4 linked regions of the Drosophila melanogaster genome follow. The protein of the gene in region 4 interacts with the protein of the main gene of each other region in a pairwise test. Each region holds a gene or a part of one and is shown on either strand. Other genes may lie near its edges.

Region 1 (3,126 bases), on a different chromosome or scaffold from region 4:
GGGCACTATTTAATAAATATAAATGAATAATAAATATAAATTTATTTTCATAAAACTCATAAATTTTCGAGAACGATAAAGTAAAAAATTCCAATTGTTTTTTTATCATAAAGGTGTCATATTTTTATTGAGGTATCTGCGTTAAGACGGTGCTATGAATTGGTTTTTACCAGCCTTGTTGCTGTTGCTGCTGCTGATCACCGAATCCACCTCCGAATCCACCTCCAAATCCTCCTTGCTGCTGCTGCTGCTGATCACCGAATCCACCTCCGAATCCACCGCCAAATCCTCCTTGCTGCTGCTGCTGATCACCAAATCCACCTCCAAATCCTCCTTGCTGCTGCTGCTGCTGATCACCGAATCCACCGCCGAATCCAAACTGAGGTAGGGCAGCGGCCGCGGCGAATAGGGCAATGAAGAGGATCTGTAACAATATTAAAATCAACTTAGTTCTTAAAGGTTTTTCTTTGAAGCGTATATGTAAAACGTACCAAAAACTTCATGGTGCTGATACTTCGGTTAGTCTTGCTAATGTGAATAAAATTTTTGGACGCCTCCGATCTTTTATACTCTCCTGCAATCTCATCATGTCGTCACGCGCCGAAGTATTATCAATGTTCTGACAAAATCAAGTACAATTAACCCAACAAAAATACGAAAAAAATTTCCAGACGTCTGGGAAATTAATATTTGAGCACTGTATCAATGCCTATGCTCAACGGGGGGAACCCTTCAACATCAATCTTATCTGGGAAGTCGAGCCTAATCTAATAAGTCCGCAACAGTTGCTAAGAAAAACTAAGGGCGACTTAGAAGAAGACGTTGTTTGAGATTACTTTAGATCATTTATGTTCCGTTTTCACGCATCACAAACGTGTTACGGCAACAAATGTTCTTGTTTGCTTTTCTGGGTTATCATTAGACTTTCGAAATGAGGAGGGATAATTAAGTATGAAATCCTTGTAATCATGGATTAATTTTTTATACATACGTATAATTATGTTATGTCTTTGAATTTTAGCGCTTAACAGGTTAGACCACTATAGTCGCATTCCTCGATTATCAGATACCCATTTCTTAGCTAATAGAAGAACTAAGATATTTACAAGACAAGACTAGATGAAATCAATGAAGAATCTAGAGTGTTGTTGGCACAGGTTCTGAAAGAATTGGAACTATTTAGAGGTCTGAATCTCATTCAGTTCATACAGACAGGCTTACAGACAGATGGCCAAACGAATACGGCTAGATAGACTCCGCTGGTGATGCTGGTGAAGAATATATATATTCTGTATAGGTAAAGGTTCGGCAACGCCTTCTTCGAACTCCCACAGACTTTTTAAAGAATTTGGTATACTCAATTACTCCACAAGTACCGTCTATAAAAACATAGAAATTATGTGTCTTAAAAAATTGTATTTATTAAACTAATAAGACTAGTTTATTTCTTTACATCCTTTTTTTTAAAGAAATATTATTTGTATTTTTTTTCGCTGTGTTTGGTTACATTCAAAAACATTTAAAATTTTCCAAACCAATTGTACTTTTTTTGAGAGCAAATTCAGCCTAAAAGAATACTGTTAAGCTTGTGAATTTAAATGCAGCGCTAAAAAGTCTTCGCCGTTTCTTATACTTTTTTTTTAGTGGCAATTGAAAAGCTTTTAATCGGTATATAGCTAATCAGCTCCAAAATAAGCAAAACAAATTAACAAGAAGAAAGATCAGGCTAAAGGTCCTCAACCCCTGATCAGAAATCAGCTCTGTTAATGCAGTGCTAGAATTTTGCTACCTCATCGCAGACGCTTAATCTAATAATCACAGCTTGGGGTATATAGATTTCGATAGGAAATAATAAGCAAAAAATAAGAAAATTTTGTTTTTATTACTTTGTTTTGGTGCAAATCGCTCCATTCGGCTTCCACCTGCTATAAAAGCCCTGCCATTTACATAGAATTAGTTAGAACGCTTTCGACAGTGTAAACAATCAATCTACCAAAATGAAATTCTTCGTAAGCTCTGCAAATTCCTTTCAAGGATTTTGGTGGGCTCGGAATTAAACATTGTTTTATTTCTCTTCTTTTAGATTGTTTTCTTCGCCTTGATCGCTGTGGTCTTTGCCGCTGGCTATGGACAACAGGGTGGACACGGCCAGGGTGGACGTGGTCAGCAAGGATTCGGACAAGGTGGAAATGGCCAACAAGGATTCGGACAGGGTGGACACGGCCAGCAAGGATTCGGACAGGGTGGACACGGCCAGCAAGGATTCGGCGGACAAGGAGGACATGGCCAGCAAGGATTCGGACACGGTGGACGTTACTAAAATACAGCCTTAATAAAATAATATTTTCCAAATTTAAAAACCCTTAAATTAGTTAAGTTTTTAATGTCGCAACACAAAATGTACAGAAATTACTATTTACAATAGCTAAAAAGCCGATGTATTTTCTTCTTTCACGTAAATTCTTGTAAGTTTAGTAAAGCAACAGTTAGAGTTGTTAAAATTTTACACAAGCAGCGGAGTTTTTCGTTTCCTATTATATTATATTATTATATTATAATATATTATATTATTGTATTTGTTATATAGCCACGAAATTTTTGGCAGTTTGTGGGCGTGTCTACAACAAATAACAAACGTGCGCTGCGTCTATGCCCCTGGAATCTGTATGCCTAAGCTCAACTTTTTAGCTTTTATAGTTCCTCTAATCTCGACGGACGGACAGGCAGGCGGACGAACGTGGACAGATCGAACGAGAACCTTCTCATGTTCAATAAGAGCAGTGTTCTCTGTCATTCAATTAGGTCTGGGAATTCATCGATGCATCAGCAAATTCTCTTGAAGAAACATTGCAAGGCTGCAAATATCAACTTCTAGTGAATACTGATGATAGGGAAATGTAATTACTCTCAACAAAATTTCGAGTACGACCATTTTTACGATCTATTTAGAAATATAAAAAAACATGCATATACGTTTGAGGTGAGGTCCTAAGTAAAAATATGTGTACCTTAAATGGTTATAATAAGTATTTTAAATGATTGTATTTGGTAGGGTATTTAATGATAAGGTGTAAGCTCCTTTAAATTTTCGCTATATAAGTGGAAGTTTGCAATAGAGAGCTTCAT
Region 2 (4,149 bases), on a different chromosome or scaffold from region 4:
GCCATCTCCAAGCCTGGAAGATTTGAAGGCCCAGCAGGAGGAGCTCCTCCAAGAGCTGGATGTTAATGCGTCGCATAACACGACAGCGAATGAATCGAAATCACCAACCGACCTGGATGACACGTCTGAGACGGAGGTTGGTCCATCTGCTGCCGAGTCCGGAAATAATGAGCAGTCCCGATCAGCACCCTCGACTCCCTTTAAGGCGTCTTATGAGGGCACGCCTTTGCTGAAATTCTCCGTTTACGACAGACTGCCTGTGGGCAGCAACTTTAAGGTGGGCGTCAGCGATGTGATCAACTTTGAAAACCTGCCCGACTCCACGGGAAAGTACGAACAAATGAAGGATCTGCTAAAGAACGTACGCGAAAAGATGGTGAAACTGCAGAACGAGAACTGACGAGACCAGGGAGACGGCAATACAAACCACATCAATTCCCGCCCACCATATGTACATTTTAAAGATTTTAAAGCCTCTTGTACAAAGGAAATACACAAGGAAAGCGGTTAGTTTTCCAAAGTCTTTTAAAAAGTGTCCAAATATGTTAGTTGATAAGCCGGTGTGTTTCAGAGTGCGCGGTTTTGTGTTTTGTACAATGTAAGAGGTGTATAATTTGCCTAATCTGTGTTCTGTGTAAACGTGCGAATGGATGCCACCAAGTCGATTGATTTGGTTCTATCCGTGGTTTCTGTCCCAATAGTGGGAGAATTAACAAAACAAGGAATTGCGGTCTGAAAATTGTGTTGTGGATGCTCAGGTTTCGTAGAAGCAGGGGTCCTCGGAGTCGCCTAGTTGATGGCCGGCGGAGGAGGCTGCGGCGGAGAGCCGTCCTGGTTATTGTCGCGTCGGCCGCCAGCTCGCTTGTTGCTGGTGAAGTTGCCCCAGGTACTCGGGTTCACTATGTACATGAACATGGCCACGATCAGGAAGATCATGGCGACGGAGAAGCCGCTGTCATCGCCGCGTCCGGCGATCTGCGCCTGGTGCGGAGTGCGTCCGGTGACTGAGGACGGATGGATTAGTTATGGTTTATACTATAGTCCGCAAGTAGAAGCACTGCATACTTTTTGGCAACTTATCACTAAGCGCGTATGACCCTAGTCTATACTGAATTGTTTTAAAAATGCAAATGCGAAAAATGAATGTTACAATCTTCACTTGAGTAAAAGACTGTTACTGATTTCATGCTGTGCAAAATGTATTATAAATCTAAATGTTTTCATACTTAAAAAAAGACGTGAGACATTGATACTGACCATCGTAACACTCGTTGTCCCCGCAGGCATTCTGGTTTTGTCGTATCTATAAGGAAGTACACTTGATCAAATGAGCTGGGAGCTGCGCGCACAGAAACTTACGAAGTTGATGAGGCGTTGCATCGCATACTCCTGCGACCAGACGCACTCGCAGCCATCGAAGTCGTCGGACATGGTTTCGGATTAGCCTTAGTCTGAGTTGCGCTGCGGAGATCGGAGTAGGTTATACTATAGGGAAAACTGAGTGTGGAATTGCAAATACTACATTTTGCCTGCTGCCACTGACACTGACGTGTCTGTTCGGAGATCGAGAGAACTGTTTCCAAACAAAACGAACCGAACTGAGACTAATTTATTTGCGGCCGCAATCGAGTTTTATACATGCATACTCATATGGTTCCGATAAAGGGGCTTTCAAATCGCGAGTGCGGAGCGAGTCGGTCGTATGTACTGGTACCTATATGTCTGGACTATGTTGTTCTGCCACTTGGGTCCCACAGAGCACAGCTTCAATTTTGGGGCAGCTGGGAGCAAATAACTTACACACTTGACAGCTAACGCCAGTTGAGCAGAGGGATTCAACTGTGCAAAGGGTCCACCCCAATGCCGCCCCACTTAGTGTATACACACACGTAAACCCGATTGCTTGGTGTGTAGGTATTTGACTCAAAAACACGATTATCAGAAGAAACAAGACGTCTAGTTTTAATTGCCAGCGAGAGCGAGGGCCCTTATCACACTTAATTACAAGGCCTTTCCGTTGGAAACTCCCCGATTGAACCAAAACCACCCCGAAAACGGTATCTGGCTTTAGAAAACGTAAACACAACTTTCCCCTTTTGTTTTTGTTGCCACAAAGGGGGCGTAAACAAACTCATCTGCGGGCGTTTGGCAATTAAGTGTCGTTACCTTGCGGGTCTTAACACTCTAATATGCTCCGATTTGGAATGGTAAAAGAATTATGATACAATTTCACTGCCACAACGTAACAATTACACTTTTCTTACCAACTGGAATTGGAATGGGAATAAAAAGTGCACATATGGTAGTGCTGGACAGCGACCAGAACTGGAGGCATATATCGGTGGAGCTGCCAGTGCTTGAAAGTTTCCATTCAGTGGGCGGGAAATTCAAAACTGTTTGATTTGGAATCTACTTCATCCTGCAACTCAAACAGCTAAAATGACTTGAGTTATTTGCTAATATACACTAGGTTAATGGAAGAGTAATATGACATTTGTCTTCTTGAGCTTTGGTTTGATGGGGTGGATGGCAATTAATCCATTATCCTTTTAAATGCAACCTGAAAATATTTTTGCCTTGTCATGTGGGCATTCTACGCAGCCTATAAAAGCATTTTCCCGCTGCCTTATGGTAATTAAAATGATTTCTTTTCTGCTGGTGTCAGTTCTTCTGTGCTTGGTCGGGGCTTCTGACTCGGAATCCATGCAAGTCCAAGTACTCCAGGATCTCAATTTGGCTCTCCAAACGGAGCTCAATGTGTTCATCGATTTTGAGTGCTGCGCCACCTCAGAGATACTCCACAAATTGGACTCGCCGAGAATTTTACTCTCCTCCAACTCGAGGGAAGCTAGAGATCTTAGAATTCGGGGAAACTTCACAGAGAGTACCCTTATCATAGTAAGTGTAATGGATTCAGATCTGAATCCACTGGTTGCCAGTCTTCTGCCACGCTTGTTGGACGAGCTCCATGAGCTGCACATAGTGTTCCTGAGCAATGAGGAACCAGGATTTCCGAAACAGGACCTCTACACCTACTGCTTCAAGGAGGGATTCGTAAATGTAATTCTGATGAGCGGAAAGGGCCTCTACAGCTACCTACCGTATCCTAGCATTCAACCGATCAGCCTATCAAATGTGTCCGAGTATTTCGATCGCGCAAGGATAATTCGAAACTTTCAAGGCTTTCCTGTCCGCATACTTCGAAGCACATTAGCTCCTCGGGACTTTGAGTACTCCAACGAACAGGGTGGCTTGGTGCGAGCAGGATATTTGTTCACAGCGGTCAAGGAGCTGACTTATCGCTATAACGCCACCATCGAGAGTGTACCCATACCCGATCTGCCGGAATATGATGTATACTTGGCCGTTGCTGAAATGCTACATACAAAAAAGATCGACATTGTTTGCTACTTCAAAGATTTCAGCTTGGAAGTGGCCTACACAGCACCACTTTCGATTATCCGCGAGTACTTCATGGCTCCCCACGCCCGTCCGATTTCCAGTTATCTGTACTACTCCAAGCCCTTCGGCTGGACCCTTTGGGCGGTCGTGATTTCGACTGTCTTGTACGGAACCGTAATGCTGCATCTGGCTGCGCGAGGAGCACGAGTCGAGATTGGAAAGTGCTTGCTGTACAGCCTCAGCCACATCCTATACAACTGCCACCAGAAAATCAGAGTTGCTGGCTGGAGGGACGTGGCCATCCATGGCATTCTAACGATCGGAGGCTTTATACTGACCAACGTCTACTTGGCCACGCTCTCCAGCATCCTCACATCCGGGCTGTACGACGAGGAGTACAACACTCTGGAGGATCTGGCCAGGGCTCCCTACCCCAGTCTGCACGACGAGTACTACAGAAGTCAGATGAAGGCGAAAACCTTCCTGCCCGAACGGCTCCGCAGGAACAGCTTGAGCTTGAACGCCACCCTGCTAAAGGCGTACCGGGATGGGCTCAATCAGAGCTACATATACATATTGTACGAGGACCGCCTGGAGCTGATCCTGATGCAGCAGTACCTGCTGAAGACGCCGCGCTTCAACATGATTCGCCAGGCCGTGGGTTTTACCCTCGAATCCTACTGCGTGTCCAACAGTCTGCCGTACTTGGCGATGACCAGTGAGTTCATGAGGCGCCTGCAGGAGCAC
Region 3 (5,378 bases), on a different chromosome or scaffold from region 4:
ACGAGGCCACAAATATATCCAGTTTAAGGGCTAATCCAAAGCAGGCAAATATATAGTCGGTGGGCTTATCCCACTTTCCTCTCTTCAAGTCGGGGGAAAAGGGTTTGTGCCCACTATCATACGATGTTTCATATATCATTTTGTGACGTTAGTATAGCCCGGTAAATTGTGTGAGCAAAGGAATTTGAAAAACTTTTGTATAAAAAGAAATATATCCAATTTCACACGCCGATGGAGGTACTTATTATTAAAAGCTTTGGCAAACAACAAACATTTCGCGAGCGTTTTAAATTGACGAACTAATTAGTAGCAGCGATGCGGACGAACTAAATCCGATTCCGCTGATAAACCGCAGTGTAGCTGATTCCACTGGACTGAGATGCTCATAGCCTATCCCGGACCATTCACACTAGATCGGCCATCAAATACACTTTTAAGAAATAATGTTAAGCATAATTTTTTGAATAAATAGTCGGTATTACTTTGTAATACTATGTAATGTGAACAAGTTCAAACAGACAGTAAGAAGATCCCTAATAATTTAATGTAATATGATGTATATTAATTTGGATATGTTAAAACAAACATCTCAATGAAACTAATACCGTTCCTAAAAGTAGTGAGTCACCGAAGTGGCATTCTGAAATTAAAAGGCATTTCTATACACTAACATGACGTCAATAAGAGTACTTTGCTTATAACCATAATTAATCAATAACTACATTAATAATTACACGTTTTTAAAAGCTCTCTCTCTCTCTCGATAGACAAACTATGTAAGCATTATAATTGTGGACGTCACAGATTTTTTAAGCTCAACTTTATTAACTTTTCCGAGATATCTACGTTTCTCTGGACAGTCACACGTGTGAACCTGATCGATTCAGGTGAGATAAACGCTGTAAAACCCATTGCTGTAAGCATAGTGCAATAAGTGTAGCATTTCCACCTTTCACAATATGATTGTATATATATGCATACCTTTTTTTAAATACGCATTAAAATTACTCATATATTTATATTTAGTACATTTCTAAGTGCATCAGTAACTAGTTGACCTCCTCAGTAACCTCGAAGAGTTGGTGGGTCATCTCCGTGTTGTCCACAGCTTCCTCGTACTGCTGGCGGTGCTCCATCTCAACCGGATACCAATCGGTGGGTCGGCAGGTGCGTTTAAAGCGTTCGCAAAAGGTGCCCGTGCTCTGGTAGAGGTAGTAAAATCCATATCCAGGAATGGCCAGAATGGGCAAAACCACGAGGACAATTGACATCACGAAGACCACTGTTGTGGAATAAGAGTGCTCCGATATGGACAGAGCAATTCCCGCGAGCTAGTTAGTTAAAAGAATATGATTATTCAAAGCAACAAGCAACTAACTAACTAACTAACCAGACAAATGACTAAAATTATTGGAGCTATAAAGCGGAGTATGAAAACCTTCCAGGAGGCAAAGGGCTGGCCCAACATGAACTCAATATCTCGCTGGAATCGTTCGCGACCATAGATCCACAAAACCACCAAAAGGAGCAGTAAGTGCAGCAAACTATGTGAGAAAATGGCATCAAGACCCAAGGCCGAAAAGAAAATAATGCCATGCTAGAAACGGAAAATTGTTTAAAATATTTCTTAATAATATATCTTTTTTGTGTAAACTTAAGTACTTACATTGGTGCAAAAGTAAAAGGAGCAGAGTGCAATACCTCCAATTAGCCCAAAGGTCACCTCTTGTTTTCTCACTCTAAGTACTTCGAACTCATCAAACAAACTTTGCAAAACCGTGAAGATTTGCGTCGTCTGAAAATAAAATTATTTAAGTTTAGTAGCGTGAAAAATAAAAATTAATTGTGTAGATTATCATCACCATCACAATTAGAGCAGCAATTAAAAGCATAGAATAGTATATAAAAGTCCATAGGTTTGGCCAAGCCATTGTGGACAAGGCAGAAGCACTTGACAAATATAGCAGCCAATGGCTCAAAACATGTCCGTTATCATCAACATCGGATAGTTCTGAAAGGGATAACTTCAATACAGTAAAGATATTGCAAATCTATAAAGTGCTATTACCATTAAAGTAGTGTTCCAGCATAAAGGAAACCATGCCAAACATGATATAAATGAAGATCTGTCCAAAGGAAATAATCCAACTATACGACATGATGTCAGTCTTGAAACCGTTGAAACTGGACAGAGTTATTACACTGCCCCAACCAGCTCCGAATGCATGAAGAACCATGATGAATGTGGACACTACTCCCATGGCCATGTCACTTGCCTTTGGAGTCACATATCTGTGGAGCCCGTTAAGAGCTCCCGGAAGGAACAGGAATCGCACAAAGCACACTAAAAGAAGAACCAGGGTAACAATCACCATGTAGCGTATAAGTTTTCCAAACTTGGCCGTCTCTGAGAATTTATAAAAAATAAATGCAATCACAACCCAAATGATTGCGAATAGGCCAACAAAATGCCAAGACAACTCGTAATCCTTATACCAATCCGGAACCGCATCCTGTTGCATGCTATCATAGTGATTTCTGTAAACATAGAGTTAAAAAGAAATTATTTTTAAACAATTCTTAAAATAATATTAAAATATTTGCATTGGATTAATTAGGTAATGTTTTATTGCTATATAAATAGGAGCACTTACTGAAAATAGAGCACGGATGGTACATGGAGCAGCTGGTGAGATCTGTTGTATTCCGAAAAGTCCTCCAAGATCAGTGTCTTATTACAAGACTTAAATATAAAAAATGTACTTAGTCTTCAATTCAATTTAGTCATACACAAATTTCATACACTAGATAGCGTTGCACTTCCATTGTGCCAAGAACTCAAGCCCTCACAGCTCCAAGGTAAAGTGGGTCGAAATGAGTTTATTATGAACAGAAGTGGAACCGCAGCAAAAATGCTATAGTAAATTAGCATGGAGATAGTTAAAAATCCACTCACATATCCCATGCCTGAAATTGATATTTCGATCAATATTTAATATCTGTTTAAACTTCTCGGTTACGTACGTACCTTTAAAGAAAGGCGACAGGCGAAAGGCGGAGATGAATCCACTGCTGGAGAACTGACCCATGAAGGAGTGAATGACCATGATGGGAACCAAGTAAATGGACATATATACAAAGTACGGCAGTATTCCAAGAACTGGTCCAAGCAAATAGTGTATTTAAATAAATGCATTCAAAGATAAAGATTAAATTCTGATGTATAAACTGTTATCTCTTGTGCTGTATAAAGAGACACAATTATTACATTAAATACATAAATATCGACAGAATTAGGCATTGTTTTGTATGTATGTCAGATGAGAAGGTAAGAGAACATTAGCAGAGCACCGCCCCTCCACAGATTAGTCTAAATCCGAACCTTATCAGCAATATAATATACGTAGTCGCCCTTGCGTTACTTACTGCCCATGTCGAAGAACATCCAAAACGATGCCACAAAGACATCCAACTTCAAGGCTAATCCAAAGCAGGCGAACATAAAGTCCGTTGGCTTATCCCATTTTCCTCGATTCAGATCGGGGGAAAAGGGTTTATGCCCGGTATCATACGATGTTTCATATACCATGTTGAACTACCCACAATATTACCGCCAAAATGTGGGCGAGAATGGATTTAAGCAAATTTTGTAAATAAGTATATATAACTACGATCTAATTTTACACTCCCGCAGAGGTAATATTAGTATATATATATTTTTTTTCTGCAACCGATCCGCGAGCGTTTTACTCTAAATTGACGGACTAATTAGTAGAACCGATGCCGGCAAACTGAATCCGATTCCGACAGCAGGCCTCTGTTTAGCTCATCCCTCTTGAATGAGATACCCCAACTTAGGCGATGCACACTTGGTCTTTAATCACACAGTTATTACTATGGAAGTGGGGTATCTTTATACCGAGATTCATTTGAAACCTCCCTCTAATTTCAAACAGATCTGTTGTCAAAATAAAGATATGCTAGGAAAATATATATCTAAGCGAGTTATCTATAGTTTCAAGCTTTCGGTTATCAAAATAATTGTAAATTTGTTATTACACGTTTTGTAAGTGTATTTCCGATCTCGACCATAAATTTGCATTTATTGTTATTTTGCTTTAAATTCAGATTATTAGAGCTCTTATATCTGTGCCTGTCTCTCTTATGTGCGCCTATCGTCGTGCATTGCCAAGTTCATTTCGATTTTGGAACTGGAAACTGATATGGTCGTGCTCGGGAAATGGGATGACAAACAAGACAGCCGCAAAGTTATCAAATCTGGGGGAAAACTCAGACAGCAATGCAAAAGCAAGTAAACCCCATAACGCCCTGGCTGTTGATTTCAATAACGCATTGATAATGTCTTAATATTTGTTTTTTCTTATGTTTGTTTGTTATTAGCGATTAGTTTTAGGTAATAATATACAATTACCTCATATATTTTTCAAACTATTATTATTTTGCATGCATTTAAAAACATGCTTCTAACAATCTACTCTAAACGTCATATATTCTATAACTAAAATTCCAAAATTATTATTATTATTAGTGCGACATTAAATAGTTTAAAGTGCTGACAGCCGTATATCATAAATTTAACTCTTTTCCTTATACGTTTACCAACTTCAAAAAAAGACTTCAACATTTTCAATGCCTAAAAGGTAAAATTTTATTAGTTCATAACAATATTTTTGGCCGAAGCTTGTTGAACATTTTAGTAGGAAACTACTAAATATCACCAGTATATTGTTCACTATAGCTAGCTTTTGGAAAATATCAGTACAACTTCATTACAACAACTAACAATCGCCATTGCCAATGGATCCGCTTATTTATATACTAGTGTGCGTGTTTGTTATTGTATTTTTTGCATGTGTGAATGTGACCGCATATGGGTGTATAATAAAAGTGAGTTCAGTTCAGTTCATTTGTCAAGTGACGACGCTGTAAGTATTGAGTTTTGATCTAGGGAGTATTCGATATTTAGGCACTATGTGGTGTTGGCATTGGCATCTATAACCAGCATCTCCGAGATGCCCATGATTTCCTCGTAGAATCGCCGGTTGTCCGCATCCACCGGATGCCAGTCATGTGGTGCGAGGCACTGTTGCAATCGCTGGCGCCAATCGCCATTCGTCCGACATACCTTGTAAACCATATAAGATATGGCCGTTAGGAGAATCAAGCCCTGACTCACATAAATCAGGACATCGTGTATGCGATCACGCGTAAATAAATAGGTTAGTTGAAACTGCAAGAAATTCCAATAATATCAGTCATTAACTATATACAAATAATTTTATAATAATAACCACTACTCACCAGACACAGTCCCAGAAAAATGGGCGTGGCAAAGCGTATAAAGAAAATTTTGAAAC
Region 4 (3,340 bases):
ATGATGTAATCTGGATTATTTATCTCTCAAGAATGCTTACTGAAACTGTGGAAGTAGCTTGCAGGACAGCATGCATTACATAGATAGGTAAAACGCAGAATACTAAAATAATTAAATCTCTGGTTAGACTAGGAACTTCTGGGAAACCCAAGGGCGTGCACTTAATACAGATGTCACTCATCCATATTCCATAGTCTATTATTAAAGCAATTGCTTCAATTTATTTGCGTTAGATAGGGTCAAATATATTCAATGTATGCTCATGCGAATGTTTAATTGTTATCTACGAAACGGGTTTTAGTCGCTGACGATAAATAATCTTTAACTAAATTTATTTTTAGTCTGAGTAAAACACAACCAAGCCAAAAAACTCACCCTGTTAATTTAACTCCATTATCTTTCAATTGAAAAACCTTTGCCTTAAGTTGATAACAATTTATTTAAAAAGCCATTCATAGGACCAAAAGAAAGTCCCCTAAAAATTACACAAATTTAAAAGTGCTATGGTTTTAAACACAAAAAGTATAATTTATTAAAACGCTACTTACAAACTAACAGATATAACATGATACAAAAGATTAACATCAATGGCTTGGAATGAGTTTACAAAGTTATAAAAATAAGCGTGCAATGGTTTAGCGATCAGTGAAGTGCTCCTCGACGTCGCCGCTACCCAGTCGTGGCGGCAACTGTTCTGAGAAGCGCAGCTGGCGCTATAAGTTCCCATCCAGGTTCTCCTCGGTGTTCTCCTCCACGATGGCCTCGTCCCAGGGCCCGTGAATGTTGAACTTGTACTGCTGCTGCCACACGAATATGAACGGGCAGACAAAGTTGATGAAAATGGTGGTGGAGGCGTAGAGATAGAGCACCGGGCGCGATATACAGTACAGCGCCATACAGCATATTGCAAATATAGGCAACATGAATCCAGCATGCCAATTCGCTTCCGTCATTATGGGATAAAGGACGAAAAAGACGGCAGCCTCGACAAGGAGCACGAAGGCGTGATACGAAGTCGGCAGGCGGGAGGCTAAGCAAATTGCTCCAAATATGGCGGCATTCAACGAGACGGCCTGCGCTTAACATGGAACAAGAAGTATTTGTATTATATAGGATTCTGAGGTGGAGTCAAGATCAATATACAATCAACACCAATAGCCGTAAATATTGCCTACCTTAGAGACCATGGCTACATCCAATCCATAGTGTCCAAATATCAGGTTGCCCAGAAGGACAAAGAAGGTCATTGTGTATATGGTGTCCGTGCTGATGGCCTGCGTTAGGGTGTGCAGCATCGGTGAGAATAAGTAGCCGAAGAGGACCACTGTGACCAGGGTTTTGGAATCCTCGCCCAGCAGGGCCCAGCTGAGACTCCTTCCTCGGTAGCACAGGTATCCAATGCCTGTGATCCCGCAACTGGGTACCAGGATCGTGGTGGGCGACACGCTGTCGCTGAGCATAAGTTGGTAGAGTATTAGGAAGCCGGTGATGCAGGAGATCTGATTATTAAGCACTGTAATACCGGCAATTGCTTCGCCGAACGTGTATATTCTACAATGTAGATTCGTGCGCAGATCCTTCAGAAAGCTGGCATCCGTGTAGTTGTCCGGATATTCCCGGTTGGAGTACAGGTTCTTCACCCATGGCTGCCGTTTCGATTGCCCATTTTTTACCATTCTTAAATTTAAAAATTGTTTGTTTACAATTCTATTAGTGCTGGGTTATCAGCGTTCGATAGTATCAGTTACTATCGACATATCGATATTGTTTTATCCACTGAAAAGTATTGAAAGTAAGTGCTGGTCACACTGTCATAGTGATGCATGTTTCACTTGAAATATCGATGATGATAGTTTAATTTGAAATATTAATAAACTGTTCATTATCTAAACAAGGGGTTTTACAGCAAGCTAATAATATACAAATCTTATTCTGAAAATTATCCCCAAGCAGAAGTGACTCGCCTACATCGATAAGAACATCCGCTGGTGTTGCGCAAAACAGTTACTCGAGCTATCGATACTTGTTCGAGTGGTTGAACCACCACTACCTTGAATTCGGAAATTTTTTGACGCACTTGTTTGTTTTGTTTACAATTACGCCACGAAAGTAAATCGGCAGCTACGAAAAAACATTAGGGATTCGTGCGGCGGGTAAACGATCAGTGGACAGTGAAGCAGTCCGTCCGGGGAGAACGCCCCATGAGCAGTTTTACAAACAAATCGCCGGTCGCGTGTTCTCTCGCCAGAGAAACCCCAGAATTTCCGAGAATAGCTATTTATGGCTTCGAATGCGCAACTCGGGAAAATCATTTTGATATCTGCAATCGCCGTGTTCTTCTATTACTTCTTTTGGGTGGCCGTCCTCCCGTTTATGCTCATCGATGAAGGTGAGTTTTCCACGGCTTCCGTTATTCACCCGCTAATACATAAGTTTTATTGAATAATCTCGCGCTTTTGTATAGTAATTAAAGTGACGCCGCGGCGTAAATTGGTCACGATGTTCAATTATATATAGTTGGCAGTGTACGAGGATGAACCCGTGTGTTTTACAGAGGTGACCACCCTAACACGGGTTACCTGGAATGCGGCTGTACGATGCTCTAAGCTCGGGTCAAGGTCACCGACGACTAGTGATGATAGGAGTACAGTATTCGCCCGATATGTGCACAGTCAAACTAGTTAGCTATTGTAGAGTCTAGGCATGTACAATCAGCGATAAAAACGAAAACGTGCTTAACCAGTGGTACCACTGTATTATGTGGTTCCAAATCTGGGTGTGTACTTAGCTAATTATTTTCGGTAGTTTTTCCGCCTGGATATTGGCTCTTCACTTTATACGTAAATATTTCATGATCGTAGTTTTGCCGTTCCGTGACAATTTTAATTTGTTGCTATTAAGAGTAATCATAAAAACAATATACTTACGTATTTTCTTTCCTGGCCTGTTATCAAATGAAACACTTGTGAACATGAGTATACTTTACAAACTTTTACAGGCAATCCCATTCGGCTGTTCTTTCCACCGCTGAAGTACGCTTTCATTGTGCCCACCGTGTTCGGGGTGATCTTCCTCGGCGGCATCGCCGCGTTCTCCTTTTACCACATCTGGAGCCTGAGAGTGAAACGTGATTAAGGGGGTTATCCGGGGGGTTATCTTGCTCGGTGCGAACGCGAACGTACGATTCCACTGAAAAACAAGGAAGAGCGATAGTCAGTCGTGGACAAGATGCCGCAGTGGCTGGTCATTGGTATCTCGGGAGTCACCTGTGGTGGCAAAACTACGCTAGCCCACAGCCTGCACGACTACTTCAAGGGTCTGAGAGGAGCGCCGCTGTGGA

Evidence for each region.
Region 1: the proteins of PIG-C (region 4) and CG34166 interact in a two-hybrid assay, tested with the Drosophila melanogaster proteins (one large-scale study listed by BioGRID).
Region 2: the proteins of PIG-C (region 4) and CG13585 interact in a two-hybrid assay, tested with the Drosophila melanogaster proteins (one large-scale study listed by BioGRID).
Region 3: the proteins of PIG-C (region 4) and CG13795 interact in a two-hybrid assay, tested with the Drosophila melanogaster proteins (one large-scale study listed by BioGRID).

The regions. Positions count from the first base shown.
Region 1 is NT_033779.5:14,741,299-14,744,424, forward strand, and holds CG34166 (uncharacterized protein), read left to right. Parts: upstream 1-1,894; 5' UTR 1,895-1,997; coding exon 1,998-2,009; intron 2,010-2,083; coding exon 2,084-2,320; 3' UTR 2,321-2,581; downstream 2,582-3,126. Other genes in the region: CG42586 (uncharacterized protein), read right to left, coding at 167-424, 492-503.
Region 2 is NT_033778.4:24,529,752-24,533,900, reverse strand, and holds CG13585 (uncharacterized protein), read right to left. Parts: upstream 2,308-4,149; 5' UTR 2,265-2,307; intron 2,257-2,264; exon of another isoform or gene 2,167-2,256; intron 1,790-2,166; exon of another isoform or gene 1,523-1,789; intron 1,462-1,522; 5' UTR 1,432-1,461; coding exon 1,360-1,431; intron 1,304-1,359; coding exon 1,258-1,303; intron 1,005-1,257; coding exon 790-1,004; 3' UTR 510-789; downstream 1-509. Other genes in the region: CG4622 (uncharacterized protein), read left to right, coding at 1-400.
Region 3 is NT_033779.5:7,722,507-7,727,884, forward strand, and holds CG13795 (uncharacterized protein), read right to left. Parts: upstream 3,793-5,378; 5' UTR 3,590-3,792; coding exon 3,427-3,589; intron 3,161-3,426; coding exon 3,029-3,160; intron 2,968-3,028; coding exon 2,804-2,967; intron 2,744-2,803; coding exon 2,655-2,743; intron 2,539-2,654; coding exon 2,069-2,538; intron 2,012-2,068; coding exon 1,863-2,011; intron 1,796-1,862; coding exon 1,667-1,795; intron 1,598-1,666; coding exon 1,391-1,597; intron 1,332-1,390; coding exon 1,050-1,331; 3' UTR 539-1,049; downstream 1-538. Other genes in the region: CG13794 (uncharacterized protein), read right to left, coding at 1-139; CG13796 (uncharacterized protein), read right to left, coding at 4,991-5,251, 5,323-5,378.
Region 4 is NT_037436.4:3,317,517-3,320,856, forward strand, and holds PIG-C (phosphatidylinositol glycan anchor biosynthesis class C), read right to left. Parts: upstream 1,717-3,340; 5' UTR 1,677-1,716; coding exon 1,176-1,676; intron 1,074-1,175; coding exon 714-1,073; coding exon of another isoform or gene 636-713; 3' UTR 512-635; downstream 1-511. Other genes in the region: Dpm2 (Dolichyl-phosphate mannosyltransferase subunit 2), read left to right, coding at 2,281-2,389, 2,999-3,135; CG12016 (uncharacterized protein), read left to right, coding at 3,229-3,340.